Linked DNA regions of Rhinolophus ferrumequinum. The protein of the gene in region 1 interacts with the protein of each later gene in a pairwise test. Links are inferred from orthologs where the notes say so. Each region holds a gene or a part of one and is shown in the gene's direction. Other genes may lie near its edges.

Region 1 (15,631 bases):
CAGAGGAGGGGCCTGGTAATAGCCTCACCTAAGACCCAACAGGAGGTCCTAGTTCCAGGGACCAGTCTACCCCTCACCCCCACTCACAGGGCAGTGGGGACAAGGTCATGGCAGGGGTAGCTGAAGCTCTCAGGCCGTGAGGTGAACCCACCCAGCCTCAGTGTCCCCAGATGCATGGGCCACTGTCAGCTGGGTGTGTGGGGGCGGTATGTGTGTTCCACGGTGGCTCAAGCTGGGCCTGACCCCGAAGACACAGGTCAGCCAGGAGCCACCCCGCCTGAGGGGCACCATTCTGGGAGCAGGCCAGAGCCTACTTCCCTCCAGGACTTTCTCTTCATTCTTGCCGACACCCACACCACGACCCCCCACCTCCACCCCCAACAGACACCATACACTAACATTGTCTCTAGAATAAGGTTTCCTGATTTGCATGTGCTTTCCCTTAGAAAATACTCCTCTGGTAACCAAGGACTCCGGAACTAAACAAAGGGAACCAGGAATAACTTTACCTGCACAGTAAGGAGGAATCCCTCAAACGCTTTAAGGCAAAGCAGTCCAAAGCAGAGGCATGACGAGGTCAGGGGACATTCTAGAAGACTGAGAGAAGGTGCTCTGGTGAGGACCCTGGATCTGGGGTGGGGCAGGGCTTAGGGGAAACAAGTGATGGCTGGGAGAGCAGGGGCACTTAGGGAGAGCACTGAGGCAGGAGTCCACCACCCTGCTCCCACTGCCCCACTCTCTGGCTCTGTGCGTTCAGACACTCTCACTTCCACATTCCACTGGTCTCAGCTCCTGTGCATCAGCTCATCTTAACCTTTCGATAAAACCACAAGTGGAAGCTATTATCCCTATTAGCTGATATTAAGATGAGGAAACTGAGACCCGAAGAAATTTAGTAACCTCCCCAAGTTCACATAAGTAGGAAGGGACAGCGCTGGTTTTCCACTCCAGCCCTAACCAACTCCAAATCTAAGCGCCTTGCATGGAGGTGCTGACTGAGCCCTGGCTGGCAAAGGGAAGGGGTCTCACAGTAAGTGCTTTCCTGCTCACCTGGGCTTGGGCGGGGACAGGTCCCAACTGAACGTGCCTGAGGCCACAGGGCATTCCTGCCCACTCAGGCATTCATTCCTGTTGGCTGGGACCCACGGCTCCCACTTCTTATTCCCCAGCCTTTGGTCTGGCACGTGGCCCCCCGTGTGGTTCTTGGTGTTCCTGAGCAAACACCAACCCTAGGAAAGCCTTTGAGGGGCAGTGCTCTTCCAGAAGAGCTAGATCCCTATGGGTCTAGACCAAACTAATCAGAGCCTGAGCCTGACCTTGGCCCAGACAGACCTCCTGATCTTGCCCCTACCCCACCCCCATCCAGGAGGGGGCGCTGGAAAGATCTGAAGTGATCCTAGCTACCTGTTTTACTTGCTGATGCTGCAAAGGACCCACATTGACTTTCAGGAAAGGCCCCTGGAGTGATCCTTGCCTGTACCAGGACCTCCTCTGAGAAAAGCCCTGACAGGCAGCGGGAGGGCCCCTCCAAGCACAGTGCCCCCCAGTGCTGCTCAGGCCAGACGGAACCTGTGCTCTGAGCCACACGCCCCCGCTCCGCTCTGGCTTGCTCAGCCTGTGCACATGTCTCACTAGCATCTCGGTGGGACTCCTTAGGGTGACTGCCTGTCATGAGAAATATTTTCCAGAGGGTTCTCCTCCTGGGTGACTAGTTTTGGAATCCCTGAGTCACTTCAGCTTCCAGGGAATCCTTGGAGGTGTGGCGAGATGGGGGTGGCAATGGGGAGAATGCTGGAGGTGGGACCAAAGGAAAGTTTGCCCAGCACCTAACATCAAGGGTGCCTCCCAATGTGCCCTCACCTGCCAAGGCCTGACCTGGCAGCCAGAGGGGACCTGCTGGGAGTCCCACCCTTGTGCCCCTGGGAAGAGAGATCACATCTGACAGGAAAGGGAAGGGAAGAGGTGACGGCATACATCCTCACCCTTGGCCAAGAAATGCTCTTGGGGTTTGCAGAAGGCTAGACGATGGCTGTCCTGCCCTTCCTCAGAAAGACATTCAAATCCTCACCTGCTACCTTGAAGTCCTGACCCTGCCTTTGATCAGCTCGTGACCTTGGGCCCTCTCTGGGTTCTTTCTCCTTCTTTGTAGAAGTGTGCATGTGTTGGAGGTGGGGGGCAGAGGGAGGTTAACCTGGATGGCCACAAAAGCACCAACCAGCTTAGCTGCTCTAGACCTCAGCTCCTGAATTCAGCGGAGTTCACTGAAACTCATGTGCACTCACGTGATGTGAGGTGGGGCACTGAGGGTTAAAATGTTGAAATACGTCTGCCCTTGCTGGTCAGTAGATGATATCCTAAGCCCTGGGGCACCCCTGCCACAACCTCCCTGTGATCCCGCAACTAAGGCTTGCTCAGATAGGGGCCTCCAGAACATAGCTCCCATGTCCTGATTGGTAGGTGAGAATGATACTGGTTGCTAATGATTTTTAGTGTCACCTTTAGTTACTAAAATGCTGAGGCTCAGGAGCACGCCTTCACACACAGAGAGCCCAGTCTAGCTTGGGAGACAACACTGGGGAATCAGAGCGCACAGGACTAGACACTCCATAACTCCCTCCTCAGCCCAGTGCTGGTGGCTCCCCACAGAGGTCCCATGCCTTACTCAGCTTTGTCCTACAGTCATGGCTGCCCCTGTTCATTCATCCATTTGCCAAATATTTATTGAGCACCTATTATACACCAGGCACTCTTCTAAATGCTAGGAATGCAGAGAAGGACAAGCCAGATAAAGTCCCTCCCTCGCGAAGCCTCTGTCTTAGGAGACAGATGATAAACAAGGAAACGAGATAATTTCTGATAATAATAATAAGTGCTATGAAGAAAATGAAACAGTGTTATGAGATAGGGAGTTATGGGGGGAGGGGAGCTGCTTTAACTTGGAAAGTCAGGGAAGGCCTTTCTGAGCACTCAGAATTTGACATAAGGATGGGGAGGGTCTGGGGGATGAGTGGTCCAGGCGGTGGAAGACAGACATGCAAAATCCGAGAGGTGGGAAAGAGCTGGGCATATCTGAGGAACAGAAAAGACAGTGTGGATGGAAAACAAAGGATGAGGGAAAGAGTGGGATGTGATGAGGCGGAAGAGTTGGGCAGAGACCAGATCACATAGGGTTCCAGCCCACAGGCTGTGGTGAAGCATTTGGATTTTATTTCAAGGTCTGTGGGGAGGCATTGACTGGATTCAGACAATATCTACTTGATGTGAGTTTCCCAAGCATGAGTACCTAGTCCTTGATATTATGCTACCCCCAGGGCTGGCATCAAATAAGAGTTGCTTTTATCCGACATGTACACACCATGGGCCAGGACTGTCCTCAGGATTCTTTTAATCCTCACAACAAGCTGATGCTATCAGTTCCCTTATTATCTCACTGTACCAACAGAAAACCAGAGGCTCCAAGATGTCATGTAGCTTGCCAAGGTCACTAGCTAGTGTTGGAACCAGGATTAGAACCCAGGCAATCTGGATGCTGAGGGGTTCCAAAGGGAGAACTGGAAGAGTCTGTGAGCACCTGAGAAGTTTTGAGTAGCAGGAGAAACAAGAATAGGTCAAGAAAGTCATGGGGAGGGGATGAGGAAGAGACCAGCTGGCTTGCCCTGCTGGGAAGGCGAGAGAAGACTGGGACCCAGAAAGCCCGATGGGGAAATTCCTTCCTTTTATACTGCTGAATATAGCAAAGGCAAGCCACAAAGCTGAGGGCCTGGCTGCCTGAGGCATCACCCACCCCTCACCCAGGGTCTTAGCTGCTCACCTAACCTGGGCTTCCTCCAACTTTACCTGGAGCCCACAGCTCTCCCTGAACAAGTTAGAATCACCTTAAACCTCCGCAAAGGAGAGGGCAGGGATGAGGCTTAATAACAGGGAAAAGGCTCCTCCTGCCCTCAGCAAAAACAAACAAACAAACAAACAAACAAAAACCCTTTCAGCTTTCATAAAAGCACAAATTGTCGGGGGAGCCAAGGTGAAGAGGAAAAGTGGAGGGAGATCGCTGCGCTGGGCACTTTGCACATATTCACTCTTCACCAATGTCACTGTTACAGATGAGGAACCTCAGAGATGATATATAACCTGACCAAGGTCACACAGCTTAATAAACCAGGATTCACTCCTGAGTCTGTCTCCATTCAGTGCCCAGGCCCTCCAGAAACAGTCTCACTTTCAGGCAGGTTTGCACTCTGCTGCCCTCACCTACATTTCCCCAGGCACTGAGCCCCATGACCCACTTCGCAAACAACCCTTTTGCCTGGTCCTAGAGCTTCCTTCCTGCTTAGCCTTTTCTGGCCTCCATCTATTTCCCCTGTGCCAATCAGAGCGTTCATCTTTGGGAGCTGGGTTTCCTAATCACCTCCTTCATGGGCCCCAGCTTGCCTTGGGAGTCCCTTGGACTGAGACCATGTTGTCACTCTCCTGAGTGTCTGTGTTCTAGACAGCCAGGTCCCCCCAGGCCTGGGGTCTGTTGGAAGTTGGACCAGGGTGGAGCGGGGATGGGGGAGCTCTTCCTTCAGATGCATCTGAAAATTTAAAAATTCCCCTACCATCCTGTTCAGGATTTCCAGCCCCACGCCCAGGTCTGCACTCCATCTCTGAGCCAAGACCCAGCACCAATATTGTCCATCCCCACGTTTACCCCAGAATCTCTCCCTTATCCACCTGTAGGTTCCACTCCTCCCCTCTGCAGAGGGTTCTTCATAGGTGCCCAGGCAATAAGGATGGGAAGGAGCCAAAGCAGGTATTCTCACCTCACCTCCTGGAAAATGCTTGGATGCGTGGGCCTGTGGAATGTGGAGAGGGGAGCATCTATCTGTCCCAGGCCTGAAGTCCACAAAGGGCCTTAAATTAGACTTTTGATGTTATTCTCAAATGAAGTTATACATAGAGTCTATTTTTTTTATGTGGACAAAAGGGAGTTATGTACAACAAGTTCAGTGAATGAAAATAGTCTCACAGGGTGATCTAATCCTAAATTCCCAACTGGGCAGATCATGGTGGGTGGTCACGCCCCAGGCATATAACTTCTTTAGTAAAAGGTTTACCTTTGCCTTAAGCAAGCCCTGCCCATTGTTCTTGTGCATCTAGGTTAACATACCTTTGAAACACCAGAAGTAATCATCTTTCCCAGACCCCTGGAAGGCGTAAGCACCCTCAAGGGAGCACATAATCTTGCTAACTATCCTATACTTTGCTTTCTTCTACCTTCCTGTAATCTGCCTTACCTTCTCTCCTTAGTTCCAAATGCACAGAAGAAACTGCAAAACTGTCTTTCTCTGGAGCGTTTGAGATCTTGTTTTCCTCAGTCTGCCTCAAACAAACTCATAAAAATTCTCTACAGGTTTGGACGTTTCTTACATTGACAGTTTAAAGTGTTAATTTGCTAAATGTAAATATTGAAAATAGACTACAGCTTTTCAATCCTTTTTGGCACCTCACTTTTTAAATACCAGGAACCTCAAAAACGGAAGAAGGAAGGCCTCTGTCCCCCCAGCAACTGTCAGGCCTTGATGTGTGCCCCAAAAGGAAGAACCAGGAGAGGGGTGTAACTGGAGGGAGACAGTGTACACACTAAGGGGTAGTTAGTTGTATGGCAGGAGAGAGGTGGGAACCCCAAAGCCGGGTCCTCTCAGCTGAAACTCCTGGGAGGCCAGATCGCAGCTTTCCTGAAAGCTGGCCCTTTTGTGCCTGCACTCCTCAGTCCTGCCCTTCGTGGCAGCAGGAGTGTGCCAGGGCAAGGGCCAGGGACAGGCCCAGACTGGCAGAAGAGTGTAAGAGGCGGCACAACTCGCCCTCCTGCAGCTCTGGGACCAGACGCTTAGGCTTCACGTTCTCTCGCCAGGGCCAGAATCCACGTCCAGCCCCAGACAGACCCCCGACTCCAGTCCAGCCCCACTTCCCCGCAGGAACCGCGGCTAGCCTTGCCACCCCTGCAAAGGCAACGCCAAGAGAGAAGAGAGACTCCGCTGAGGACCCAAGCAAGGCGGAAGGAGCGCCCTCCCTCCCACGGGAAAGACAGATGTAGGGCTAATGAAAGGGAGGCAGAGAGAGGCGCGGGGCTGGCGGGGGAGCGCGGGGGCGTGGCGGGGAAAGGCGAGCTCCGAGCGGGGAGCTGACCAGACCACCCGGAGGGCCACCGCGACGTCGGGAAGAGGGAGCCAGGGAGAGGGGCCGGGAGGGGGCGTGCAGTGTGGCCCGAGGGTCCTGAGCTGAAACTCAACACCCGCCTTTGGAGGGATCGTCCTCCTTTCTCCTCCGCCCCTTCCCTTTCCCTCCCTTTTCCCCTCCCTCCTTTCTCTTAATCCCCAGGACCGAGCCCCGAGCCGGAGCGGAGAGGGCCTGAGGGGAGGAGAAAGGAACTGCCCTGAAAGGGGTCCGGGAGCCTGGGAAGGGGAGGGAAAGGGCGCCGCCAGCGGGGGTGAGCCTGAAGGCCACGCGCGACCCCCGGAGCCTTCCCAGCCCTCTTAGTGTCCACCCCACCACCAGGCGAGTCCCCAGGCCCCTGCCCTTCCTTTTTCTCTTTGCTCCTTTTGCTTTGTGGCCTTTCTCTGGGTTCCCAGAGATACCTGGGTACTGCCTCGAGCCCTGGGAGCGCCGAGGGGCCCTGCCCAGGGTGCGCGTGAGAGGGGCGGCGCGCTTGCGCCGGGTGCTGGGGACCAAGGGTGGGAGCTGGAGCGGGTGGCCCTGCGCGCTGCGGCCGAGGAGCGGAGGAGGGCGGGTGGGCCCCTCTGCGGCTGTGGAAGGCCATCCCGCCCCTTCGAGTCTGGCCGCGTGTTATCGCGGCGCCCCCAGACCGCGGAGGTGCTGAGAGCGAGTGTGAGTGAGTGCGAACCGCCTCATCCAGAAGTTGCGAGTGTCTGGGCGGAAAGCAGCCACTCGGGCAACGCAGCCCCACGGTCACGCTCTCGCAGGCCTTTGGTGTAAGCCTGGCCTCCTTTCGCCAAGATGGGCGAGTTTGAAGGGGGACCGATGGCTCAGTTCTAGCTCTCTCCCTCCCCGGCAGCGGGGCCGCTACAGCACCCGGATCGCCCCGAACACAGCCCTGGGATCCCCGCTCTTCGGCCCCGGGTGGGGTTGGGTTGGCCCCTAAACTCGCTTGTCCAGCCTAACCGCCCAGGCGGCTTCTCCCAGCCCTCAGGGCTGTCTTGAGCGGCCTGTTGAGTCGTCGAGCGCAGCCTTAGCTTCCGCCTCCCCGCCAGCCCCGGCCCTAGAAGGGAACTTTAGGTCCATGCGGACCTGGGGTGCCTCGGCGGCCTAGGGCAGGCATCTCCGGGGGCCTGGCCAAACCGGCGGCCCCCGGGAGGCTGTGGGGACAGTGCAGAGCTCGCGCCCTTGGATGAGGTCCCGCAGCGACGCCCCGGCCCGCCCTGCTCCTCCTCCTGCCCGACCAAGCTGCCTCCCATTTGGGGAGTTTTGTGGGTTTTCTTTCTCCTCCTCCAACGTCCTCGTCCTCGGAGGCCACGACTCAGGCGCCGCAGCCGTGGGCCGCCTCCATGGTGCGGGGCAGCCGCTGCTGAAGTCAGCGAAACCGAGCCTGGCCTGGAGCAGGCCGCACCGAAGGCCAGGGCCATGGCCGTAGCCACGTCGGTGAGTCCACCAGGGAAAGGAGGCTGTGGGGCAGAGACCTTCACAGCTGCCCTGCACTCCTGTCACTTTTATTTCTGCCGTCTCTTTGTCTCTCTCCTTGGTCCCTTTCTTCTCCAGGAGGCTGTCCCTTTTCTCTCACTTCTGTTTCCCTTTCTCCTCACTGCTCATCCCTAGCTCCTTGTGGGTGTAGGTTCCCCTTTTCCCCCTCCTCTCCCCATTCTCCCCTTTTTCTTTCTAGAGGCTGCCCAGGGATGGAGGGAAGGGGGCAAGTCTAGCCCGAGTTTTATCTGCTCTTTTATGGGCGGAACAGATGGCCACTGGTGGCTGGCAGGGGCTTGTGATTGGGAGGCAAGTAAAAGGTTGGGAGGGGGCTGAAAGAATGGAGGTGGCTCCGGGAAAATGGGAGAGGCTGGAGGGCCCAAGGAGGCCCTTCTGTAGAGGAGGGATGGAGGAAAGGGGGGAAACGAAGCAAAAGCGGGAGATCGGGCAGGGAGAAAGAGAAAATAGAGGGAGGAAGGGAGGTGATGTCAGCCAGCCTCTGGCCACTTTCTGGGGACTGGGGACAAAGGGAGGAGACAGCTGGCATGATGGGACAGTGGGAGGAGGCCTCCCGGAGTATGCTGTGGTCCGCTGCCACCCCCCATTAAGTCAGCCCCTCCCTCACTAGTCAGCCAGGTCCCTGAGGAGGGGATAGAGGTGGCTACACCCATCATCAATCAGGTTATCAGCAGCTCTGGCCTGGGTTCCCCACAACTGCAAGGCCCAGAGGTTTGGCCCCATTGGACAGAATTCAAACCTAGCACTGGGAGGAGCTGTCCTCAGCCCCGCCTCTGCTTTCTGTCTTGCACTCCAAGCAACTCTGTCCCCTTTTCCACCTTCCCTAGGCCCTAGGATTCCCAGGGAAAGCCAGGCTGCCACCTGCTTTCTGGTCCCCTCTGAATGGGTACTCTGGGCAGGAGGATTGTGAGGCCGGAAAGAGAAGCATGGTTCTTCACGTCCTCCCATTTCCTTCTAGGATAAGTTCAAGTTTCACTGTTCAAACCAAATTCCTTTTAGTTCCTCCATCTGTATGATGGTGAGAAAAATCATCATAGTTTTCAGAGCCAGGAGAGGGGAGGGAAGAAGCTGGTCAACTGTAGTCCCAGGAGGAAGATTTTTCTTTTTACCCAGAGGTGTGTGGGGTGGGGGGGGAGGGCTGGTATTTATGATCGTCAAACTTACAGGATCCTGATAACAGCTAGTATTTATTGAACATTTACTGGCCCTAAGCTTTGTCCTGGTTTGTCCTGGTTGTTTGACACATTATCTCATCCAACCTTCACAACATTCCTGTGAGGATAGTACTATTTTATCCAAAAATAGATATTTGGATATGGACATAGAATTCTACAAAGGAGGAAACTGAGGCTCCGAAAGGTTTGACAACCTGCCCATAGCCACCCAGGTAGAAAGGGATAGAGCCAAGGCTCAAAACCAGTTCTGTCTGCCTCAGAACTGTGCTCTTAACCCTTGGCTAAATCCAAAACATCAATTGAAAATTTATAATTAGAAAGAAAAGTGCCACGCTAACCAGGAATTTGTATCACCTGGTTAGCATGTTTTCTTTCTATGGGACAACATCCTTTAGAAACCAACATAATCAGAAAATGGTTTGATAAGTTTGGAATCAGGCAAGAGGAGAAGTCAGTTTGCTGTTGAAATCACCCAGTGATGAAGGGCTGCCAACCTCTCCACCTGAGGGAAACACCAGCCAAGAGAAACATGCACTCATGCTGGCTGAGCAGGGCATCCTTCTCCCCATGGCCCGGGGGCCAAATACAACCTGCCAGAGATCTTTAGCTTGAGATTTTTTACTGAATTAGCCCCGATGGATCACCTGCTCAGTAATGCTTAACTCCCTTTCTCCACCACCACTGTGTGAGCCATCATTGCCTGGGATCCTGCCTGCAGCTGCAGTCATTTAGCAAAAACTGAAGCAGAATATATTTTGATATCCTGAGTGGTTTAAGCTTGATTCTACCAAAGGACATTGTGGAACCAGAGCCCTATGAAGGGTGACTAGCAAAGGGAAATTGGGTATAATGAAGACTTTATATGCGTTTGAGTCATGTTTGAGTCATGGACCTTCTTGACTTAACCTGTGCTCCTAATATAAGAAGGAAAAGGTAGATCCATGTGTTTGTGATTATGGAGAGGCAGTAGAGGAGTGATTAAGAGTGCAGGCCCTAGGATCAAGCAGCCAGGGGTTCACATATGTTCCCAGCTGCACCAGTTGTATGTCGTTGGGCAGTGTACTAGCCTCTCTGTTTCAGTTTCCTTCCCAGATGGGGATAATGACGGCTCCTCCCTCCTTAGGTTGCTGTGAGGATTAAATGAGATGAGATGATTAGAGCAAAAACTTTCAAAGTGTCTGGATACGTAATTTGCACTTAGTATCTGTGACTTACTACCTGAGTGTGTGGATCTTCAAAGGAAAAGTTTAGATGTCCCACCAGAGAGGACTGGAAACAGGCTGATAAATGCTTGCTCTTGGTTGGTCCACCAGCCCCTTACACACACACACACACACACACACACACACACACACGAGTGTGTACTTTTTCCATTTCTCCATGGTAACCTCAGCCTCTTCTGAGAACCTTATTTGCTCAGACTGAGAATAAAACAATTGCTTCGGTTTCCGTTTTCCTCCTTTTTATGCCTAGGCACTGTCTGGGCTGAGCCAGTCCCAGTCCCTCTCAGAATGAGGGGTCTCTGCAGCTGCTTCATCTAACCTTTTGTTTGTGGGGGATGTTGATGGGAAACGGGAGGTAAAGGACATTCTGTGGGAGACCTTAGCAGGACTTCCTTGTGTATGCAAGGCTTTGGAGGAAATTCATTCAGCACATGTTTATTGAGGACTGATTCCAGGTCAGGCCTTATTGCAGAGGCTAAGGAATATAGGAGTCCCTGTTCTCACAGGGCTTACAGTATAAGGGAAGAAATCGATAATACAAATAAATAGACAAATATTATAAAGTATTATGAAGGAAACAATGAGTGGACACAGACACAGAATGGGGTAGGAAAAAAGTGAAGAAAAGACCTCTTAACAGCAAGTGCCAAGGCCCTGAGGTGGGAAAGAGCTTGTCTAGTTCAAGGAATAGAAAGGAAGAGGGAAGTCCAGGGAATGAAGCTGGAGACACGGCAGAGCCCAGTGAGGAAGGTCTGAGTCAGGAGGTCAGATTCTTAGCTTGAAGGAAATGGGAGCTCTAAAGGGTTTTGAGCAGGAGGTAACATGACCTGGTATGTGTATGAAGACCCTCTCCCCACTCCCACCTCACCCACCAGGCCCAGCTGGCCCGGGCACTCTACGACAACACGGCCGAGTCCCCCCAGGAGCTGTCCTTCCGCCGAGGGGATGTTCTACGGGTACTGCAGAGGGAGGGCGCTGGTGGGCTGAACGGCTGGTGCCTCTGCTCCCTGCACGGCCAGCAGGGCATAGTGCCTGCCAACAGAGTGAAGCTCCTTCCTCCTGGCCCAGCACCCAAGCCCAGCCTCTCCCAGGTGCCCCCAGCCGAGCCTGGCTCACCATATCCAGCCCCAGAGCGCAGCAATGAGGACCAGGAGGTGAGAGCTGGAGCCCTCCCAACCCCGGGGCAGGGAGAGCCCTGAGACCACACGCAGTTCTTCAGGGCTCTGCTCTAAGAAGCCTGTCAACCTTTTCTGGGTTCTAGTTCCCCGTGGGACAGGGAGGAGGTTGGAAAGTGTCTACACTCCTCCAAGGCACACACGTGACCTGATTCCCTGGTCCCCACTCCTGACCCACCCACCCGTCTTGATCCCCCAGGTGTATGTGGTGCCACCCCCAGCTCGTCCCTGTCTGACCTCAGGATCACCTTCCTGCCCACCTTCCCCTGACCCCATCTACAAGGTTCCCAGAGGCGGTGGGACTCAACTGGCTGCCTCTGGAGACGCCTTGGAGGTGAGGGCTAGAGGTCTGTGTATGTCGGGCTGGGAATAGACAGCTGTGGAGGGAGGGAGTCAATTGCTGAGAGTAACTAGCTGCTCCCTCTCCAGGTCTATGATGTGCCCCCCGCTGCCCTCCGAGTTCCTTCCAGTGGCCCTTATGACTCCCCTGCCTCCTTTTCCCGCCCTCTGGCCCGGGTCGCCCCACAGCCCCCTGGAGAAGACGAAGCTCCCTATGACGTGCCTCTGGCCCCGAAGCCACCATCAGAGCTGGAGCCAGATCTGGAGTGGGAGGGGGGCCGAGAACCAGGTCCCCCCCTCTACGCTGCCCCTTCCAACCTGAAACGGGCATCAGCCCTGCTCAACCTGTATGAAGCACCTGAGGAACTGCAAGCAGATGGGGAAGGTGGGGACACTGACGAAGGCATCTACGACGTGCCCCTACTGGGGCCAGAGACACCCCCTTCTCCAGAACCCCTGGGAGCCTTGGCCTCCAATGATGCGGACTCCCTGGCCCTGCTCCTGGCCAGAAGTCCTCCACCCTCACACAGGCCCCGGTTGCCCTCGGCTGAGAGCCTGTCCCGCCGCCCTCTGCCTGCCCTGCCTATCCCTGAGGCCCCCAGCCCTTCCCCGGCCCCCTCTCCTGCTCCAGGCCGGAAGGGCAGCATCCAGGACAGGCCTCTGCCCCCACCCCCACCCCGCCTGCCTGGCTATGGAACCCCTAAGGTTGAGGGGGATTCAGAGGGCGGAGAGTTGGAGGACGATCCAGCAGGACACCACAATGAGTATGAGGGCATCCCGATGTCTGAGGAGTACGACTATGTCCACCTGAAGGTGAGCTCACCTCCAGCCAGCCCCTCCCGAGGTGCCCCTGGGTTTTGAGCAGGAGGTAACATGACCAGGACATGAGCAGGAGGTAATAGTCCCTGGAGAACTGGGGGGGCGTGAGGAGGCCTGGGCCCACACACGGACTCGCCTTCCTTCCCTTCCTCTGGCCTGGGACTCCAGTACTTGGCCACACTTGTACCAGTACCACATCCCCCCCTAAACCCAGGCTGGGATCCCTGAGCCCTCTGACTCGCCACCAGAGCTCTCCCAGACCTGGAGTCCAGGAACTGCAACCTCTGATGGCAGGAGAGACCTCAGGGAGGAAGGGGGAGTGGGGAGGGCCAGGAAGGCTACCCAATCCCTGCCTGAGACTCTGACCCCTTCTTGCAGGGCATGGATAAAACTCAGGGATCTAGGCCCTTGGATAAGGCCTTCCCAGATGGTCCTGAACTGCTGGAGAGGGGGCCACCGGAGCAGCAGGTAACCCTGTGGTGGTGGTACTAGAGAAGGGGGACCGGGGAAGGAGGAGCAGGAACATGGAAGAGAGTATTAACTGAACCATCAAGAGAACTACATTAGGATGGGGTGAAAGTTCAGTGAAGTGGAACAGTTGGAGTAGACAGGAGTTAAAATTCAACAGGAAGGAGATGGAATTTAGAAAAGGATATCAGGAATTCAGAAAGAGGGGAAAGAATGTGTTGGAGAGGAATCAGAAAACTGAGCATTGAGGAGCAGAAAGTTTCTGGGCTGTGGGTGAGAGCTGGGCCAGGTTACTTCTGGGGCTCCTTCCAACTGATTTCCTGGGTTTTAAGAGACCTGGCTCCTAATCCTGGCTCCACCATGAAAAAACCAGGGGCTCTAACGTGGCCAGTTCATGTCTCTGGGCCTCAGGAAAGTGAGGTGGTCTCCTTGACTCTGGTTTTAATCACAATCGCTACCATTTTTCAGGTATTCACCAAGAGCCAGACTCTGTGCTAAGCACATTGCGTGCGTCAACACTAATCCTAGCCAGTTGGTACTCCTACGGGGCTTAGTGTGCAATGCTCTCTTCTGAGCCCTTTCTATATACTGTAGCAACTCACACTCATCTTCACCGCAGCCTTAGGAGGCAGATACTAGACGTGCGCTAGCCGATGTGGTAACCACTAGCCAGACACGTGGCGATCGCGTACTTGAAACGTGGCTGGTCTGAACTGAAATGTGCTGCAATGTAAAATGCATACGAGAATTTCTAGACTTAGTGTGAAAAAACATCTCAATAATTTTTATATTGATTATATGTTGAAATTACAACATTTTTAGGTTTGGGATTTTAAAATACACCAGTTTTTTTTTTACTCTTCTTGACGTGACTACTAGCAATGTTCAAATCACACGTGTGATTTGCATTGTTAATATTGAACAGTGCAGGACTTCGATTCCCCAGTGTAGAGATACGGAAAGAAGCTCAGAGACTTGTGTGAGGTTGTTTGAATCCAGATGTATCTGACACCAGCTCTGAGCACTTTCCTGCCACTCACTATGAGGATCTAAATTTTCTGATGGGCAAAGATAAGAGCTAAAGGGATTGAACTAGGACGAAAGGACTGAGGAACAAAGAAGGGAGGAGGAAGGAAGTGAGAGCAGGAGTGACACTAACAGAGCTTTCCCACTGACCACTCCTTTTGCCCTCAGGACGCCCTGTCCCCAGGGGAGCCACTGGTTCTGCCCACCGGAGATCTACAGCTCCTGCACTTCTACGCAGGGCAGTGCCAGAACCATTACTCAGCACTGCGGGCAGCCGTGGCAGCCCTGATGTCCAGCACCAGGGCCAACCAGCCCCCACGCCTTTTCGTGCCCCATGGCAAGCGGGTGGTGGTGGCCGCTCACCGCCTGGTATTTGTTGGGGATACCCTGAACCGGCTGGCAGCCTCCACCCCTCTCCGAGCTCAGGTTGGGGCTGCAGGTACAGCGTTGGGCCAGGCATTACGGGCCACTGTGCTGGCTGTCAAGGCAGCTGCCCTGGGCTACCCATCCAGCCCTGCGACCGAAGAGATGGCACAGTGTGTGGCAGAGCTGGCAGGGCATGCCCTGCAATTCACCAACCTGCTCACAAGCCTCGCCCCCTGAGGGTTCCAATCTGCCCCTCCCCTCCCTGCCAGAGACACCCCTCCAGACACTGGGCAACTGGAAGGCTCTTTTAGGGACTAGGAGAGGTGGGGATCCCCATCCCCCCCTTCAGTCATCTCCGTCTCTCACAGAGACGTCTCCACCCCCTACCCTGCAGCTTTTTGTACAAGCCATTTTGTATAAATTATTTTTATTTAATATTATTCCCTGTTTTGTCAGGGGCAAGTGCCAGGTCCTCTGGAGCAGGAGGACTCTTCCTCTTTCCTCAGCCTGGGGTGGAGGGTCTTGTCACTACACTGCCACCCACCTCTGGAAGCTCAGCCCCACAGAGAATCAGGTGGCTGAAACCCGGGCCACCTGCATGTCCTGTTTCTTGGCTCTAGAACATCAGTGCCTCACTGTTAGTTAGAATGAGGGCAGGACAATGACCACCCAGAATATGAAGGTCTGGGAGAGGCCCGGGGCTCCTCTCCACAGGATGTGGGAGAGCTGGGCCTCTGGCACTGGGCATGCACCTCAATAAACCGTACTGTCTGGCTCCGTGACTCTGCTTCTTAGGAGCCTGGGGTTGGGTCTGGTGCCCCTTGGCCAAACCTATGGGACACACTATGGACAGGATGGGTGCCTTTAGGATTTGGGGTGAAATTTTGCTGTTTCGTCAACAACTATTCATTCTGCGGGTTCTTAGCTCCCATGATGTGCCAGGCACATACATTGTGGGGTGGAATGGACATAAACAAGTCAGTCAGTTGCTGATAATGGAAATAAACAGGGTGATACGAAGGACTAACCAGATGAGAGGAGAAACCATGGAAGGAGACTATAGACAGGATGGTTGGAAGGTGATATCTGAGCTGAGACCCCAAGGATGAGAGAACCAGCATTCCAGGAAGACAGACACTGACTACTGACCTGTGGCCTCCAACACCTCATTGTCAAATGATGTCATTAGAAAGGAGACATGTGGAGGCCATTTAAGGCCACACGAGAGCCTTAAAAGGTGCTGTGCTGCAGAGGTCACCCCAACTATCTTCAGCTTTGTGCTGCAGGATAGCTCTGGCCAGCTGGAGAGTGCTGCTGGCTGGCCTTGGTGCTCGCTTCCTTAGGTTAA
Region 2 (16,125 bases), on another chromosome or scaffold:
TATTTTAAAACTATTGTTTTGGTGGTTATCATAAAGATTTCAACATTAACTTGACTTACCTTAAATTTGCACAGTTACATAAAAAGTTCAAATTTTTCTTTAAGACAGATTCCTGGAAGAGGACACTTGAACACATGGCATGAATGTTTAAGGTCTTTGGGACATATGCTCAATCTCCTTTCTAGAAAGATTGTACCAACTTATTATACTCCCATCTGTGACAGTTTTTGTTCTGTTGAGCCGGTGCCATTATTAGATAATTATTATTGCTTTAAAAATCTGTTTATTCGGTAAGTGGGGACAAAAGTAAGTTAAGATTCTTTGACTACCTTTGAGGTTGACTTTGTATTGCACATTATCAAATAACCGTTTGCTTCTGTGAATAGCTTGTTCGTATCCTTGGGCATTTTTCAGTTGGAATATTGGTGTTTTTCTTATCAGTCTGTAAGAACTCATTTAAATTAGGAATCATTCTGTTAATTGTTGAAAACAATTTTTCCTTGCTTAACTCTTACTTTGTAATAATCTCCCCGGCTGGGGGATGTAGTTCAGTGGTACAGTGCATGCTTCACATGTAATAGTCTTCTTTACTAACCTTTAGAGGAAGGGAAGAGAAGAAAAAAATATCCTGGCTGCAGCTCAAGACACAAGAACAGACAGTGAGTCAAGGACTTTGCCTCTCTTAAGTCTATGAAGTGTCTGTAAGAACTGACAGCACAACATTTTTCTTCCAAGGTTATCAAAGTTAAAAATAAAGAACATATTTTCTGGCTCCTCAAGAGAATTGTCTTGGTTGCTGGTTTGTACAAGACCTCAATGATCATCTTGTTAATTATAAAAGTTGGTAAGATCATTAAACATAGTACTGGGTAAGGAAGTGAGGTGAATCCAGCTGAAAAATATTCACTATCCTTTTTGAGCAATGAAAAGAAAAGGAAAAAAAAACAAAAACCCAGGTGCCCAGTATCACTTTGGTTACTGGGAGGGAAAGCTCAGAAGGTGAGTGCTTTGAGTTTGCTCCAGGTGAAGCTGGGGGGTCAGGAAGAGGAGTATAGTTAGTCATGTATTCCCGGCAGGGATTACTAGAGTACCAGTGAACCCACCTTGCCCTAGCTTCAGAAGAAAAATCTGTATTATTCCAGTGTTTTCAGTTTCAAACATAAAACTGGGAAAATGATTTCATTTTTTTAGATATCTGAACAAAAATCAGAAACCTTTACAAAAGCAGCCTTAAAGTATAGTAATATATTTAAACACACTTTGACACTGTCTTCATAGATAGCAAAGTTATTTGGGTTTGGGGAAAAAAAAAGAACATCAGCGCACAATGTTTTACAAGCTCATCTACTTACCATCATACTGCAAAAATCCATTTTTATCTGTCTCTATCTCAGACTCTGGCTGAAAAAATGATAAAGTACCCATCAAAACTGTGCAGTGCAAATATAATACAATTATAGAACGAAGAGGCAATAAACCTTCAATAAATGCTTTGAATGAGAATAATTAACTCAAAGAACAAGACCAATAAGTGGTGCCATCTACTGGACACGTAACACTACTGCATTGGGTCGACCTTCACTGCAAAAAGCTTTATCAGCAAAGGCTTTTTGTATGTAATTCAATTAACTTTACTATTAAAACATTTTTGTGTTAAATAAGTGATCTAAGAAGTTTTATAGATACCTTAAAGAAATCATCCTGAGATATGACACTGCAGTTTGGGAGGTGTTTCTGCAAATTCTTAGCCAGTGTTGTCTTCCCACCATTTGTCACACTGAACCAAAAAAGAGAAAAGAAAAATTGAAAATACAGAAAGATGCATTAAAAAACATATAAAAATGATCTTAGAAAGGGTATTTAAAACAATATGGAATATCTAGGAATAAATTATTTCTTTTATAGATACTGGTTTTTTCCTGTTGGTAAAACCATAGGCATAAGTAGATCTAATGCAATAAATGATAAGAAATAAGCTGGGAAGGATCGAGGAGAAAGGCAACTACTGGGCAAGTCAACGGGATAATATCAAGATTTAATACCACTATTGAGTTGGAAACAAAGAAATGTTTTGTCTATGGCGCAATATTCACAGGGTTTATATGCAACACAGAATATAGGCAGCACATTTTAATGCAAGTATATAAAACTGCACATGGTCATTGTGGTTTTGTTTCAATGCACAGTGTTGAAAAATGGAGGAGTGGCTTATTACAAGCCTACCTATCATGAATTTATATCTCCTCTGTGATGTTTCTTTTCCCCTAATCTCTCTCCACTTTGGGGCTGGATGGGAAGTCCATTTTAGCTTATCACACCAGTCAGGTGAGGTGGTTCCATTTTCTGTATGTCCAAAGCTGGGCAAAACAGGAAAGAACTGATAGATTTTCTCCTATGTCACAATGGGGGAGCAGCCATATGGAGAATAAAACCATTCTGAACCAAAGTACTATATTTCCCCGAAAATAAGACTGGGTCTTGTATTAAGGTTTGCTCCATAAGACACATTAGGGCTTATGTTCAGGGGATGTCATCCTGAAAAATCATGCTAGGGCTTATTTTTTGGTTAGGTCTTATTTTCGGGGAAACATGGTAGCATCTGATCAGGCCTTGGTTCTGGTATCAGTTCCAGAAAATAAATGATAAAGTAGGCAAACTTAGCTTACTGACGCTCCTATTTTTCTGTTTATAAGGAAACTCGCCCATCTACTGTTGGTATTTATGTAGCCAGAGCTCCACTGTTTTACATTTGACAGTGGCCTGATCACTTCTTCAGGACTCAGGAGATCCTCATTGCATCTCCTCCTCCACCACCATGTCCACTTGAAAACACAGTCTGGACATCCTGAGTGTCTTGATCAGCTATTTGTAGCAAAATTACTCACCCACCAATTCCAATGACAAATGTGTTCATAATTCGCCTCAAAAATCACGTCTTCCTAAAATAAAAAAGAAAAATCAAATGCTTGTCATTCAGATGTTGAAAGAGGTAAGAGTCCTAAATTAGAAGGGCCAGCTGAGGAGGAGGATGGCTGTGATTTCTGGGTTACCCCACCCCTGGATTATCCGTATTCCATGGAAGAGCTTCATATTGTGCAGGCATACGTTGGAAATATTGTGGGTTCGGTTCCAGGCCATCCCGCAATAAAGGGAGTCATAATCTTTTTGCTGGTGGAGGGCCCTGCATACAGTTTGTAAAAAACGCAGTCTCTGTGAAGCACAATAAAATGAGGTATGCCTGTACTGGCTTCTCTCTGCCACACTCTCCTGCTAAGTACCAACAGATGGTGCGTGCTCAGGGCCTATAAGCCCAAATCGAGTGAACTGAAAGTGTACCTTGGCAAAGCATATACCCTTGAAGGTCTGTTTTCAAGGTCGTGGAAGAGTTGCTAGGTCGCGCAGCACACTACAGAGTTTCATACTGCACTCAGGCAGGTCATATGTCACCTGCATAATTCAATCACTTGGAGATGACCCATTACCCCTATGGAGGGAAACTGCAGAGCTCCTCTCTCCCTTCTGAAATGGGGAGGAAGTAACTGCTGGTCATAGGCAAAAGGAAGTTAGCACCCCATTAAGGGTGCCATTTCCTCATCCCGAAGCCTAGGTCTAGGGCCAGGGTAAATAAACTTTTTCAGAAATGAAACAGGTAGTAAATATCGGAGGCTTTGTGGGCCAAGAGGCAAAATCAAGGTTATTAAGCAGATATTTATATAACAAGAGAGAAACAAATTTTCACAATTTTTTTGATCAAAGTCAAAACATAATAATAATTTAGTCTTTTTTTTGGCAATTCATATCTACTAATGAGAAGAATGGAATTCCTTTTTTATTGGGATAACATTTCTCTAAGTGGATTTCAAAGTTAGTGTTCCCTATCAGGAAAGTGATTGCCTGGAGTTCAGTCAGAGGGCCAGGTTTCAGCCACAGGCTATTGTCTGTTGACCCCTGGTATAAGGGGTAGCCCGCAGTTTCACACATGGCCCTCTAAGGTTCAACAAAGCAGTTCCTGTGGATATTCCAGTAGACCATTTTCACCTCTTTAAATGAAAAGGAGAAGCTCAGCTGGAGGGAAACTTAGAACAGTGGTTCCTGAGAGTTGCCTCTGATTAAGCTGCTCTAGTTGGGTGACCAGGGACCTAAGTTGTGTGCCCGCGTGGGGTGAGTGGCTCCTTGAGCTGGAGCCTCCCAGCAGCCCTCCCTGACCTCTGTCCAGGCTCCTCCTGGGGAAAGTGGGGTGGTGGGGGGTGGGGGGGGTGGGGAGAGTGGGGGGGGCGGGGAGGGAAGCACCTGTGGAGAGAGAGCTGTTGTTCCTGGGCTTCTTTTTATCCAGAATATTCCAAATTAAGTGCAACTGCTTAAGGTTCAGTTCCACTTTCATTAACAAGCCTATATGAGACAAGAATTCAATAATCACTATGATAAAAATAAAGTAACAGAACAAGTTAGGCATCTGAGTTTTACCTGGAGTTGCATTTTTGAAAATCTGTACCTCCACCCAAATTGCCAAAGTTTATCACAGGAACAATGGCATACAATGAATATTGTAAAATAAATTTTTAAGTTGTAATTTTTCTATTTTTGAATTTAATTTACCCTATTCTTATTTTTAGTAACTCAGTGCAAAGCTGCCAACTATCCTCTTTTGGGATGAGAAGACTGCCATTTATCCTGAGATGGTACCTTTCTTATTTTTAGATAAAAATGATAAATGTGATAAATGTCCTTTCTCTTGTGAAGTCATGCTGGCAGTACATAGTGGTAGGTTGATGTCCTCACTTGGCAAAACAAACAAACAAACACAAAACACAAAACATAAAACTGTGTCGTTCCTTGCCCCCACCTTGATTATTTTTGGATAGTCGGTCAACGTATTAAACTCTCAAACCCAGGGAAGTATAGCCTTAGAGGTCACTTAGTCCACCCCTTCATTTTGCAGAAGTTGAAACTGGCCCAGAAAATGGAGTGACTTACCCAAGGTCACATAGCTAGTAAGTTTTGGAAAAGCCAGGAATGAAACTAGACCAAGCAAATTAACCTCCTCTTCCCAAGCCATTCAAAAGCACTTCATTACCAAAAGCAAAGAAAGGATGTTGCACATGCGCTGGCTTGTGAGGTTCTCAAGTGTAATTGATATCCTCTTAGTGATGTATTATTGATGGGTGTATATTTGCTGTGCACACTGAATGGCAAGGACTACTGTTCCCCTGTGTTTCTCATCACATCTGTGCAAACACGTGAGGATATTGTATCAATTACATAGCATGTAAATAACGAGTGTGGCTGTGGCACTGGAAATACGCTTGAGGGGATTATTTGGGTGGAAAACCTAGCAACTCAGAAACCAGGAGTCATGGAGAGTCAAGAACGTACTTACACAATCCCTTGGGCTCAGGAAGGAACTCCCACAGTCAAATACAAATTTTTATTTTTATTTTTTTATTATTATTATTTTTTTTTACCAAAACAGGCACCCTCAGTTCTATATTAGTTAGCAGTCTTAGCCTGTCCAAGACAGTGTTTGAGTAAATGTGGGGCACAGTCCATTAGCAATGAACAGGTGACAATGTAGTGGGAGGGGTGGGGAACTGGAAGAAGCAGAAACAAGAACTGTGGCTGGGATGAGTGGCTGGGGTAGAAGTGGGTGTAGCAATCCCAGAGGCCAATTTATTTACAAAACAGTGTTGGATGCATGGGTCAGCTTCAGGTGAACACTCAGTTCAGGCCTGGCATTGTCCACCTTCACACGTTCTGTTACTTCACTGCCTGCTGCCCTCTTTAAGAACAATTTTAAAATCACATTTAAAAAACTTGTAATCAAGAGTTGCCAGGCTCCAAATACAAGCAGCAGCACACTCCATGAAGCAAACTCAAGTTTGAACAACCACATACTTTAATCACTGAATGTCTCCAGAGAGACAACCATTTGGACTTTCCAGCCTCATCAATCCAGGGCATCCAGTTACTCGGAATATATACCACTCCCAATCTCGTGGGATATTTATGTACTTTCTTCTCCCAATTAGTGCAAATCTTTCCTAAACAGCACAAAACACTTCATAGGGGAGAACAGACTAAGATATCCAAGAGCAAACCCCAAATGAGTAATTTTAATGATTTTAAATACTTTTTTCCCCTAAGTAAAATATGTACTTTTTTTTTTTTTTTTACAGCTGGTATGTGTTTATTACATTTCTTGTATTTCACCACTACACTTGGCCTATTTTGGATTCTAAATTGCAAAATGGTCAAGGTGACACGTGCAGAATCAGCAGATTATAAGGAAACAGCAAGTCCCTACCACAAATGTTCTCAAAGACAGATGACAACATGCTAATGAAATGTTCTGCTTTTCAATGCATTGAAAGAGCAGTTTGATATTTTTCAGAGTGAAATGTTTTCAGGACTTCTCACTCATTTATTTTATTCAGTGGATATTTCGATGATCTTCTTCCACACCAGAGGGAAGTCTTTTCCTACTATTGTTTAACCTTTGCCCCTTTTTGGTAAACGGAACTCTCCCAAAGTTAAAGTTTCTGGAATATGCAACCATGTCCCTTTCCCTTGGAATCACGCGATCTTTCACTAACCCTTAGTAGAAACTTCTGAAGCTTCATTTTATGGAGACTCTCATGTATAAAGTTTTTTCATTTCAATTTTTCTTCCCCCAAACATACAACTGGTTTATAACATTGACTGTGCTATTTCGAACTTATGAACTTTGCATTTCTAGTATAACTCCAGCCCTTGCCTCCATTGGAGATTCAATCTGCTAGGTCAGGGGACAGCAAACTTCTGTCAAGTGCCAGGTAGAAAATGTTTTCCATTTTGCCAGCAGCTGTTTGACTCTGCTGTTGTGAAGTGAAAGCGGCCACAGACAATACATAAGCAAATGAGTGTGGCTGTGTTTGCGGACACTGAAATTGGAATTTTATATAATTTTTCACATGCCACAAGGTACTCTTTTATTTTCAGCCATATAAAAATGTAAAAGTCATTCTTGGTTAGCAGGCCGTACAACCGGAGGCAGGGAGGCCATAGTTAGTCAACCCCAATACTAGAGGAATAAAAGACCTTTCCCGTGGGGATCAAGACGTGACCCTGTCCCTGGTGACTTCTCCCCACAACCTGTACCATCTTTTGGAGGCAGACTCCCATTTTAAGGATTATCGCGGGACGGTAAAGCACTAAGTAGTCACGAGTACACGCCCTCCTTGGCAGGCCCGTATCAGCCCATGTAGGGTTATAAGAGTCCCAAACACGACTTGCAAGATGCAACCAGGTTCGGGATCCAGCGGCGCTAACACTCGGGATACACCTCCAAGCCCCAGCGAGGCTGCGCGGCGGGCTCAGCAGGTACTCACCGGGTCCTCCCAAGCAAAGCAGAGGCGATGGCCAAGCGCGCCGCCCTGTCACTAACCCGCCGCAACCCAGCAGCTCGCTATCCTAGAGGGCCCACAGTCCCCTTCCCCTGCGTCCCTCCCAGGTCAGGGGCGGTCTACGTAGAGGTAGCAAATCGGTTCAGCTGGGCCGGACGCGACGACCAGCTCCAGCCCCAGTTGGGCGGGGCGGGGGCTTCGGTGAGCGTGGCCCCCGCGCGCGCCACGGCAGGGTCTGGCCCTTTTCTGTCGGGGGCGCGCGCGGCCGGACGGCCCCGGCGCGAGCCCGCGGCGTCCGGGTTCGGCTCCCGCTGGTTCCGCCACCGCGCGCGCCGGCGTGCGCGCCGCCCGCGCTCCCGCCGCGCCGCAGCTGCCAGCCAGGGAACCAATTAGCGCTGGCAAAGCGGCGGCTACTTCCTCGTGGGCCGGGTCGCGCGCTCTAGACACCTCGGGAGGCTGCGGGGTGGGGCGGGACTGCGCCGAGCCTCTCTGCCTGCGTCCACTGGTGCGACGGCCAAGGGTGGGCGCAGGTCCTTGAAGGCGCACCACTGCAGACTAAACAAAAAGAAACTTGGGGTGCCGGTTGGCGGGGCGTTGGGTTGACTTTTCGTGCGTGGTCTTTAGGATCAGCTGCTCCAGGAAGCGAGATGTCGAAGCCGCCACCCAAACCGGTCAAACCAGGTAAGGGAGGTGCTCGCCGGGTCCCCTGACCGCCTCGGTGCCCTGCGCTTCCTATGCCACTTGGCAGTGCAGACCAGGCACGTACCCAGCCCCGGAGCCTCGCTGTCGAGATCCGATCCATCAGAATGGGAGTCGTTAGCTTTGTTGCGTTCACGAAAGGGAAGGAATCGTTTGGATAGCAAGAGGATTTCGAGGATTTTTTAAAAGTTTATTTTTAAAGAGGAGTCTCCTTCAGTTTTGCAACACTGACATTCGCTGCCACTTTCAAGCCGGTGTCATGGCTACGTCCCATTGAAGCTTTCCTGGAAGACAGGGCCATTGATCTCCCTTTAAAAAAGAAATTAAATAAATGCCTTGAAATGGTCTTTTAGCCACTTCCTCTTTTTTTTTTTTTTTTCCCCCAAGTGTGTATCTGTCAAGTTAGAGTTCTTGACCGGCCAGAGCAAACGGGAAGTGCGCTGCTTGCAGGGTGGGGTGGGTGAGCGAGTCTCCTTTGGGACTTTTGAGAGGAACAGCGTTTGAAATTGACCTCAGGATCTTGGGAAACGCGTTTAGAAAACTCTGTACTAAACTTAGTGGCGAGAAGAACCTAGGCTACGGCAGAGCAATCTCGGTTATTTCTATTCGGAAGTGTCACTTTATTACGCAGTCCTGCGCCTCCACTCTTCTAGTGGATTTCGCCTGCTAAACTGGAAACGGTGCGATTCCTAAGTTCCTCAAAGCCATTTTCTGGGCCGATAGTCTTGGTTCATTTTTGACTCTATTCTTAGAATATTTTCTGTGATAGGGAGACACGAAAACTTAAAGGGGACTGACGCATTTCAATGAAATACTGTAACAAACTCTTTGCGTTCTTTTAGTAGATAATTAGCGGAAACGTAGGGAATGGAAAATAAACAGCCCTGACATACTCTCAGGTTTTTTCTTCCAATCTCATGTGACTTTAGTACAGCAAGGCTGAAATTTATCCATTTACATCAAATTTCGAAGTAACCTTGGTTGCAAGGCATAGAGTTTCAGTGGTTTTTTTCCTTGGTTTTTCTAAACTTTAGTCAAATACTACAACTTTCATGATTTTTCAGTTTTCTTTTTTTGCCCTCATACATTCTCAGTTTCAAGTCATTTTATTTGAAAATTATGTACATACTCACATATATGGAACAGTGATTCACTGAGGACTTCAATTTTGGTGGGCGGGGTGTGGAGGAAATTGCTGGGATTTTGGCTCTGCTGTAAGCAAAGATGGGGCGTGGTTTGAGTTGGGCTCCGTGCTTTTTTACATGTGGAATCTGATGAGGAATTTGCATTTTAAGTAAATATGTAGGAGGCGGTCCCTTTCAAAACTCAGATGTAAATCAGAACCTCAAGCATCCAGCAAAGCAGAGTTGTTCTTTGATAGCCAAACAGAGTAAGCATGTCATGAGGTTTTTCATCTCTCTAGACATTAAGTGGTGTCTGTGCTGCGGCTGGAGGGGCACTGACAGTGATGTGTATGTGTGTGTGCACGAGTGTGTACATGAGTACTCGTGTATATGAGTACTCATGCACACACAGATGTGGTTAAAGATCATGGTGTTACCAGTTGGGTATAAGCTCCCAGGAACCATTTTTGTTGTCTGACACTACGGCTTTCTCCGTCTTTTCAGCAAATCAGAGAGCAAATGGTTGAAAATGACTGCTGTTTAGAGAGAGCTGTGAGTCCACCTCATTTGTACATGACATCCAAACTCAAATAAGGTCACCATAGAAATCGTTTTGTCAATTTACTAATTTACGGTGAGAAATACTACTTTCAGTCAGACTTGAAACTTTGTGTGGCCTGGTTTAACTGAAAACAGAACTGTCCTATTAGAGTTCTGGCCCACATTTACTGTGTGCCAGGTCCTGGTCTAATCATTTTAAATTCATTAACACATTTACTTCTTACAACAACCCTGTGAGGTGAGTACCATTATTATTCCCATTGTACAGGTCGGGAAATGAAGGCAAGGCACAGAAAGATTGAATAACTTGCCCAAGGTCAGCAGATGGATGGGGAGGAGCAGGCAGGATTATTAGAACCCAGGTAGTCTGGCTCCAGGATTTGGATTCTTAACTACGAAGCCTTACCCCACAGTGAACCATTCACACGGTCTTGTGTATTTTAGAGCTGGTGGGCAGGAAGTAGAAAGGAAAGTGCCTCTGGCCTTCAGTCAGACTTTATGATCACAAAAGCACATAAAAGTCACTGCCTGGTTGGTAGCAGCAAGGAGAGTGGTACTGAGCTTTACTCTCTTGTCCTGCAGGCAAGCTACATGGGTGAAAATGTCTGAAGCAAGCTTGGAATTGGGGGTAGGGAGGTTTATTTAATTTTTGGTTTCTTCGTTTATTTATATCCTGCCTCATCCCAAATGAGGGTAAAAACAGATAAAGAAAGCACGGTTGTGTTGAGGGAGGGAAAACTAGTAAGAGGAAATCGGAGGAAAAGTTAGCTTTCAGATACATATGTGGTAAGGTCCTACAGAATTCTTAAAGGAGGGCTGTAGTTTTGGCTCTCAGCTTTAAGCAGAGAGATAAAAGCTCAATTACAAATTCCCAGTGTTCATAAAATTACAATGTATTACTTGCTGGGAGAAGACTGATTTTAATGGCACTGAGCCCTGAGATGAGATTCTCCCATGGTTCTCTTTGAAGTGTTGGAGTGGACTGGTCATCTCTACAAAGAACACAAGTGGGACATCATCGTGGTCGTCCCTATAGCTTCCTGCGAAGCAAGATCTGGGCAGAACAGCATGACTCAATTCATAGGCAGCGCTAAAAGGAGGGGAGCTAGGCAGGACAAAGGGCTTACTGGAAGATTTTAATAGCAAGAGACAGTAAGCTATAATGTGGGCTAAGGTAGCTATCGGGGTGATGGGCATGCACCCCACAAGGGGACCTTTTTGCAAAGGAGGCTACCTAGGTAAGCCCGGTCAGATGCTTGAGGGAAAGCTCTGCCAACCTAATTTCCTTCGCATTCTCTTCATTTCCTTCCTGAGGTTATACCAGGGGTCACCTTGTTTGGGATTCTGGTCACAATCAAAATTTACTTGCTGAATACTTCTTAATACGTGCCCCTTGTAGTTTAGGCCCTGTGTTAGACACCGGGGTTCCAAGCAACACTGAAGTAAGGTCTCAGCCATGAGTGTCTTCAGTCTAAAGGGGGTGGGGGAATTTATGTATCTACAGATAATATCTTAGATTGTCCTATTTCTACAATTGGATGGCTGATCTTACCTATTGAAAAAAACCTTGTATTATAATTAAAAATAAAATAATATTTTTATTATAGAAAATTTAGGAAGTTGCAGTATAGAAAAATAATAAATATATAAAAATATATATAAAAACCATTCCTACTTTATCATCTAGTGATAACCACTGTTTCCTCAGGATATTTTTTTCTTCTTCTTCAAATCTATTTTATTCAAAAAAAAAAATCTATTGAATTTCAGTGAATTATCCTCAGAATGGTGTCTCAGTTTCAGTTTTAAGTGCCTTGCTGTTGGTGGCATATGTTTCCTATAGTCTGTGTAGTATTGCCTGTGTTCAGCTTGAAAAATCGGTTCTATCATATTTTAACCTTTCCTTGGTTACTGATTTTTTTCTTCTTTTGTAGGGTCATTTCTGGCCATTCAAGGTTGGTCATTGAAATTCTGCCCTCTAATTGTTAGATATGTCACCATGGTACTCTGTCGGTTGTGTCACAATTTTGTGGTCTTTAGCTCATTCTTTATGGAACCCTCCTTACCTTCTGCTGAACTAGTCCAGCCTCTCAGCTCTACACACATAGCCCTTCTGTTCCTTTCAGCCACCCTCCAAAGCCTTGCAGTTCAATTAGGGTGAACCCACCTGGTCTGTTGGAGTGTAGAAAACAAATTATGTTCTCACAAATACTTTTTTAAAAAGTGGCTTTATTCTGAGACTTGATATAAGATTCACTAAATGATACTGAATGAGATTTAGATTAGAATTATTGCATTCTAAACAGATTTGATAACCCTCCACTGTAGTTGGAAGCCTGATGTCTGATCTGGACCAATTCTTTTAAATGGCTTATTGATTTTGGTGATGAAAGTAAAACAGCATAAATATTTCTTGTGAAATATAAATTCTTGTGAAAATAAATTCATGGTACTTTGAAGATGCAAATGTCAGTGTTTTGGGTTCTTTTGTATACACAGTAAAAACATCATAAACTTCAAAGATGTCATACATACGCTGCTTATATAACACCTTTGAGAATAAAAAGGTCTTCATCTGAGACGATTTGAATTTTTGTGTAATTTTTCCCTCTGAATAAATGAATTAGTCAGTGGGGCTCCATTTATAAAGTTTGAAAAACATCTTGAAAATTACAAAATGATGATGATAGTACTAGTTGGCATTTATTTGACCCTAAATAAGTGTCAGGCACTGAGCCAAGAACTTTAAATGCTGCATCTCATTTAATTACTCTAACTGCCCTAAAAGGTGGATCCTAATATCCCCATTTTTATGGATGAAGTAGGACTTGGTAAGGTTAAGAAAACTACTTGAGGTCTCAAAGGTAGAAAGTGGTTGGTATGACCCGGGAATGGAACATGAGCCTTAACTAGAGTCAGTGTGTTTTGCGCAGAGAAACCTGTGAGGATTCTATTAGGTTGGATGAACTTTATTTGGGCAGTCACCTTCATTAACTTAAACAGTTGTAGTTTTGCATGTACTTTGCATAACTCTCCTCTTTCATTAGATCTGTATTGACTATTAGACACTTATTGAGAGTAGCATAATCTTTTATTTCTTTGTAACTGCATAGCAACTAAACTTTTTGTGTATGACAGATACATAAAAAGTCTTGATACATAGTAAAGTCTTTGTCTGGAAGAAGGTGGGGAGGACTGATTGGGCACGTCTTGTAGCTTCATTATGAAGTAGCAAAGGCTGGAGCAGTGTCCATCAGCGTTCCTTTTGGAAATAATGAGGTCCTTCCCTTTTACGTTTTCAACGTTACCACTGCTTGACTTCATTGTGACTAGTAACTAGCTTTTCTGACATGTCTCTGTAAGGGAAGAGGAGACTTTTTATCTACCCTTTTAGATTCTGTCGGGGTCCTGTGAATTAAACTAACCAAAAACCAAACCAAAACAAAACAAACAACAGACCCAGATTGACAGGAGAAAAAGTCATACAAATTTAATTGATGTTTTTAATTTTATGTGTACAAGGGATATACAGAAAAGAAGTGAAAACCCAAAGAAGTGGTTAGACTTGAAAGCTTATATATCATTTTAACAAAGGGTGATACATTGTGGAGAAGGGACCAGACAAAGGAAATGGGCTTCTAGGGGGAGTGAATTGTGGGAAGGTAAATGTATGGTGAAACTAATAGAAGATAAGAGTTATTTTAGTAAGGTTTGTTTATATAGACTTATCTAGGTATCATTTTCATCTCCTGTAGTAAGAGTTGTTGTCCTCTTTCTTACATAGCGGGGGTGGGCATGTTAGGAGGTATACTTTCACAAGGGGAGTTTATGCCCTGCTTTTAGGCAGATAGGGAGAGGGCAATGAGTTCTTCCTGTGTCTGCTTTTTCTCAGTTGCCTTCAGCTCAAAATTCTTATGCCAAAGTGGCATATTTTGGGGTAGCAGATTTTGATCCCCTTTACCTCATACCTCATGTCTGATGAAAACCATTGCCAAAGTTGTCCCCATTTGCTTGATGCCCAGGGAAAACAAAATATATCAGAGAGAGACAGAGAATCAGAGACAGAGAGACCTCCTTTCAGTGGCCTGATGTTAGTTAAGTCAAGATTCTCTATCAATTTGTCAACCATACCGCAAAGCTAGAAAAAACAAAAATTCTCTATCAAACAAATTAAAGGAGTTTGGGGAAAAAATTTCAGATATCAGTATTGAGAGAGTTTCCTGGTTCTTTTGAACAACCACATGGTACTCTACTGTGTTTATTTAACCAAACCCATATTAATAAGCATTTAGATTGTTTCCACTCTTTTGTTACAACAAATAGTGTTATAACAGCCTTGTTGCTTACCTGTGTGAATAAATCCACAGGGGACAGTCCTGGTGGGATTGTTGTATTGTTAGAGGGTAATGTGCCTTGTCATTTTCATAGACATTCCCAAACTACTCTCCAAAGAGGTTCTACCAGTTTACCTTCCTACCAAAAGTGTGTGAACTTGCTTTAAACAGAAAAATTACAAAGCACGTGATAGGAGATATTCTCAAAGTGAGATCAGAGAGCTGGGAAGTGCAAGGCAAGGAGCTTGAGAAAGCTGAGAAGGAGTCACGGAAGAGGGAAAATTTAAGTAGGATCTTGAATGCTGAGTAAGAATTTGGTAGGCAGCAAAGGGGGAAAAGTCATTTGACTCGAGCAGAAATAGCTTGATATATCCTCCTATCCATGTTTACCCGACTGTATAGGGCTGAGCTTGTCTAAGAGAAGCTAGGGAGACTGGTGTGCACGCATGGAACTGTGGGCCAGAGAAATTTGTTCCAAATGAAAGCGAGCGCCATTTTAGTGTAGCAGTCGGTGGAACACAGTACTGCTTCACACAGAAATCGAGAATTTAAATGTCTGCATAACAGTCCTTTACGTATCTGCACATCCGTTTGTCAGTGTTAACAGTAGCTGTGGGTGTTTAGTTTGCATCCATGGGTTAAAGAGGGTCACAGATTCAAGTCACTTACACAAGTCTCTGGTGGGACAGCTGTAGCCACCTCCTTTTTATTCATTCTTGCCAGTAATTTCCCACTTGATGTTTGTGCATCTGTAGAATTTTTAGAAAGTCACAAGGCAAATTCCTTAACTTACTCTTGGGGCAAGAGTTGGGGGAGTTTTGTATTGGTGCATTTTGATTAACGTGGGATTTTTAAACTCGTTAACATCCCTTAGAATTTGGTAAGTTACTTCGGTTTTGTATTTGTGGGACCAAAGAATATACTCAGTGTGGTTCTTTCAATTTGAGTTCAAATTGTGGAAGAACCTAGGGATTAACTCAGTTTTTTCCTGCTAGAAGGGCCTCGGCAGTCTTTCTGGCAGCCCTGCATTTTAGAGATTTTGCTAGGTTCTGAGAAACTCATGGGTTGTACTCCCGGATTCCCTCCCTGATCGCGGAGGAAAGACTTGAATCAACTTACTTGCGTGAGACAAATAAATGACTTCCACAGGAGAGTATTCTGGAGTGACTCTGTCTTCTAGGGACCTCCTAACCCAGTTCATGTTTGTGGGGAGGAGACCTCCAAATTCAAGCTCTCTGAGCATGGTGAGAGTGGCTAGGCTCAGAGAAGCCCCTCCAGCCTGTTGGCACAGTTGACAGGTATCTCAGACTCCAGATTTGGAAGATTCCGCAGAGTCTCATATTTCCTTGCTTGAAAACCAGACTCTTATGACTCTATCTAAAATGTTGTCTACCCAGGTTTACGGGGTTTTCTGGCTGCTTTGGGGGCCTCTTGTTTTGATGAGTCAGTGCAAGTTTGCCAACAGGAACCCAGGGAGGACCTAAACTGAAGGTATTCTCACTGGTTTTGGAAACTGGCTGTGAAATGTTGCAAGGAAACTGGCTGTGAAATGTTGCAACAGAAACTGTTCCCTCCAAATTTCGTTTTCTGAATGGTGTGCCAAACTTGAAATTGTTTTCAACTTTATTTTTCTTTTGGAGAATCAGTCATCTTTTTCATTCCTCTGCACTCAGGTTCTAAATCTGAGTCGTCCAAGAACTGCCAGCGAGCACCTGGGCCTATGTTAAGGTGAAATGTGAAGGAGGAGTCGCCACTTCCGGTGACTGCCCACTTCCTCTTTCAAGGAGCCTAGCCTGTCCCATTCACAGGGCTGCTTCTGACCCTTGCCTAACGCCTTCCCACTCTCAAAAACCAATTCTGGGGCTAATACCTAAATATTGGGGCTCTAAAGGGTTCCTAAGACTTGCCACTGGCTTGGTAGAAGCTCTGTTCACCACAATGGGTTCCCGCCCATTTTCCAATTCTTGGTTGGTACTGGGTCTCTCTGATGTCTTCATATCTCTTCTGACACGCTCTTATTGACTGGAC

What was found.
Region 2: the proteins of EFS (region 1) and OSTF1 interact in binary tests that used the Homo sapiens proteins (3 or more experiments, as listed by UniProt). The two-hybrid records come from large-scale screens. The link is inferred for Rhinolophus ferrumequinum from reciprocal best matches to the Homo sapiens genes EFS and OSTF1.

What each region holds. Positions count from the first base shown.
Region 1 is NC_046289.1:73,801,067-73,816,697, reverse strand, and holds EFS (embryonal Fyn-associated substrate), read left to right. Parts: upstream 1-5,878; 5' UTR 5,879-7,617; coding exon 7,618-7,635; intron 7,636-10,965; coding exon 10,966-11,244; intron 11,245-11,464; coding exon 11,465-11,599; intron 11,600-11,694; coding exon 11,695-12,417; intron 12,418-12,801; coding exon 12,802-12,891; intron 12,892-14,085; coding exon 14,086-14,520; 3' UTR 14,521-15,058; downstream 15,059-15,631. UniProt on the Homo sapiens protein: Docking protein which plays a central coordinating role for tyrosine-kinase-based signaling related to cell adhesion. May serve as an activator of SRC and a downstream effector. Interacts with the SH3 domain of FYN and with CRK, SRC, and YES.
Region 2 is NC_046295.1:40,459,841-40,475,965, forward strand, and holds the start of OSTF1 (osteoclast-stimulating factor 1), read left to right. Parts: upstream 1-7,826; 5' UTR 7,827-8,026; coding exon 8,027-8,060; intron 8,061-16,125. Other genes in the region: NMRK1 (nicotinamide riboside kinase 1), read right to left, coding at 1,353-1,401, 1,687-1,777, 2,886-2,914.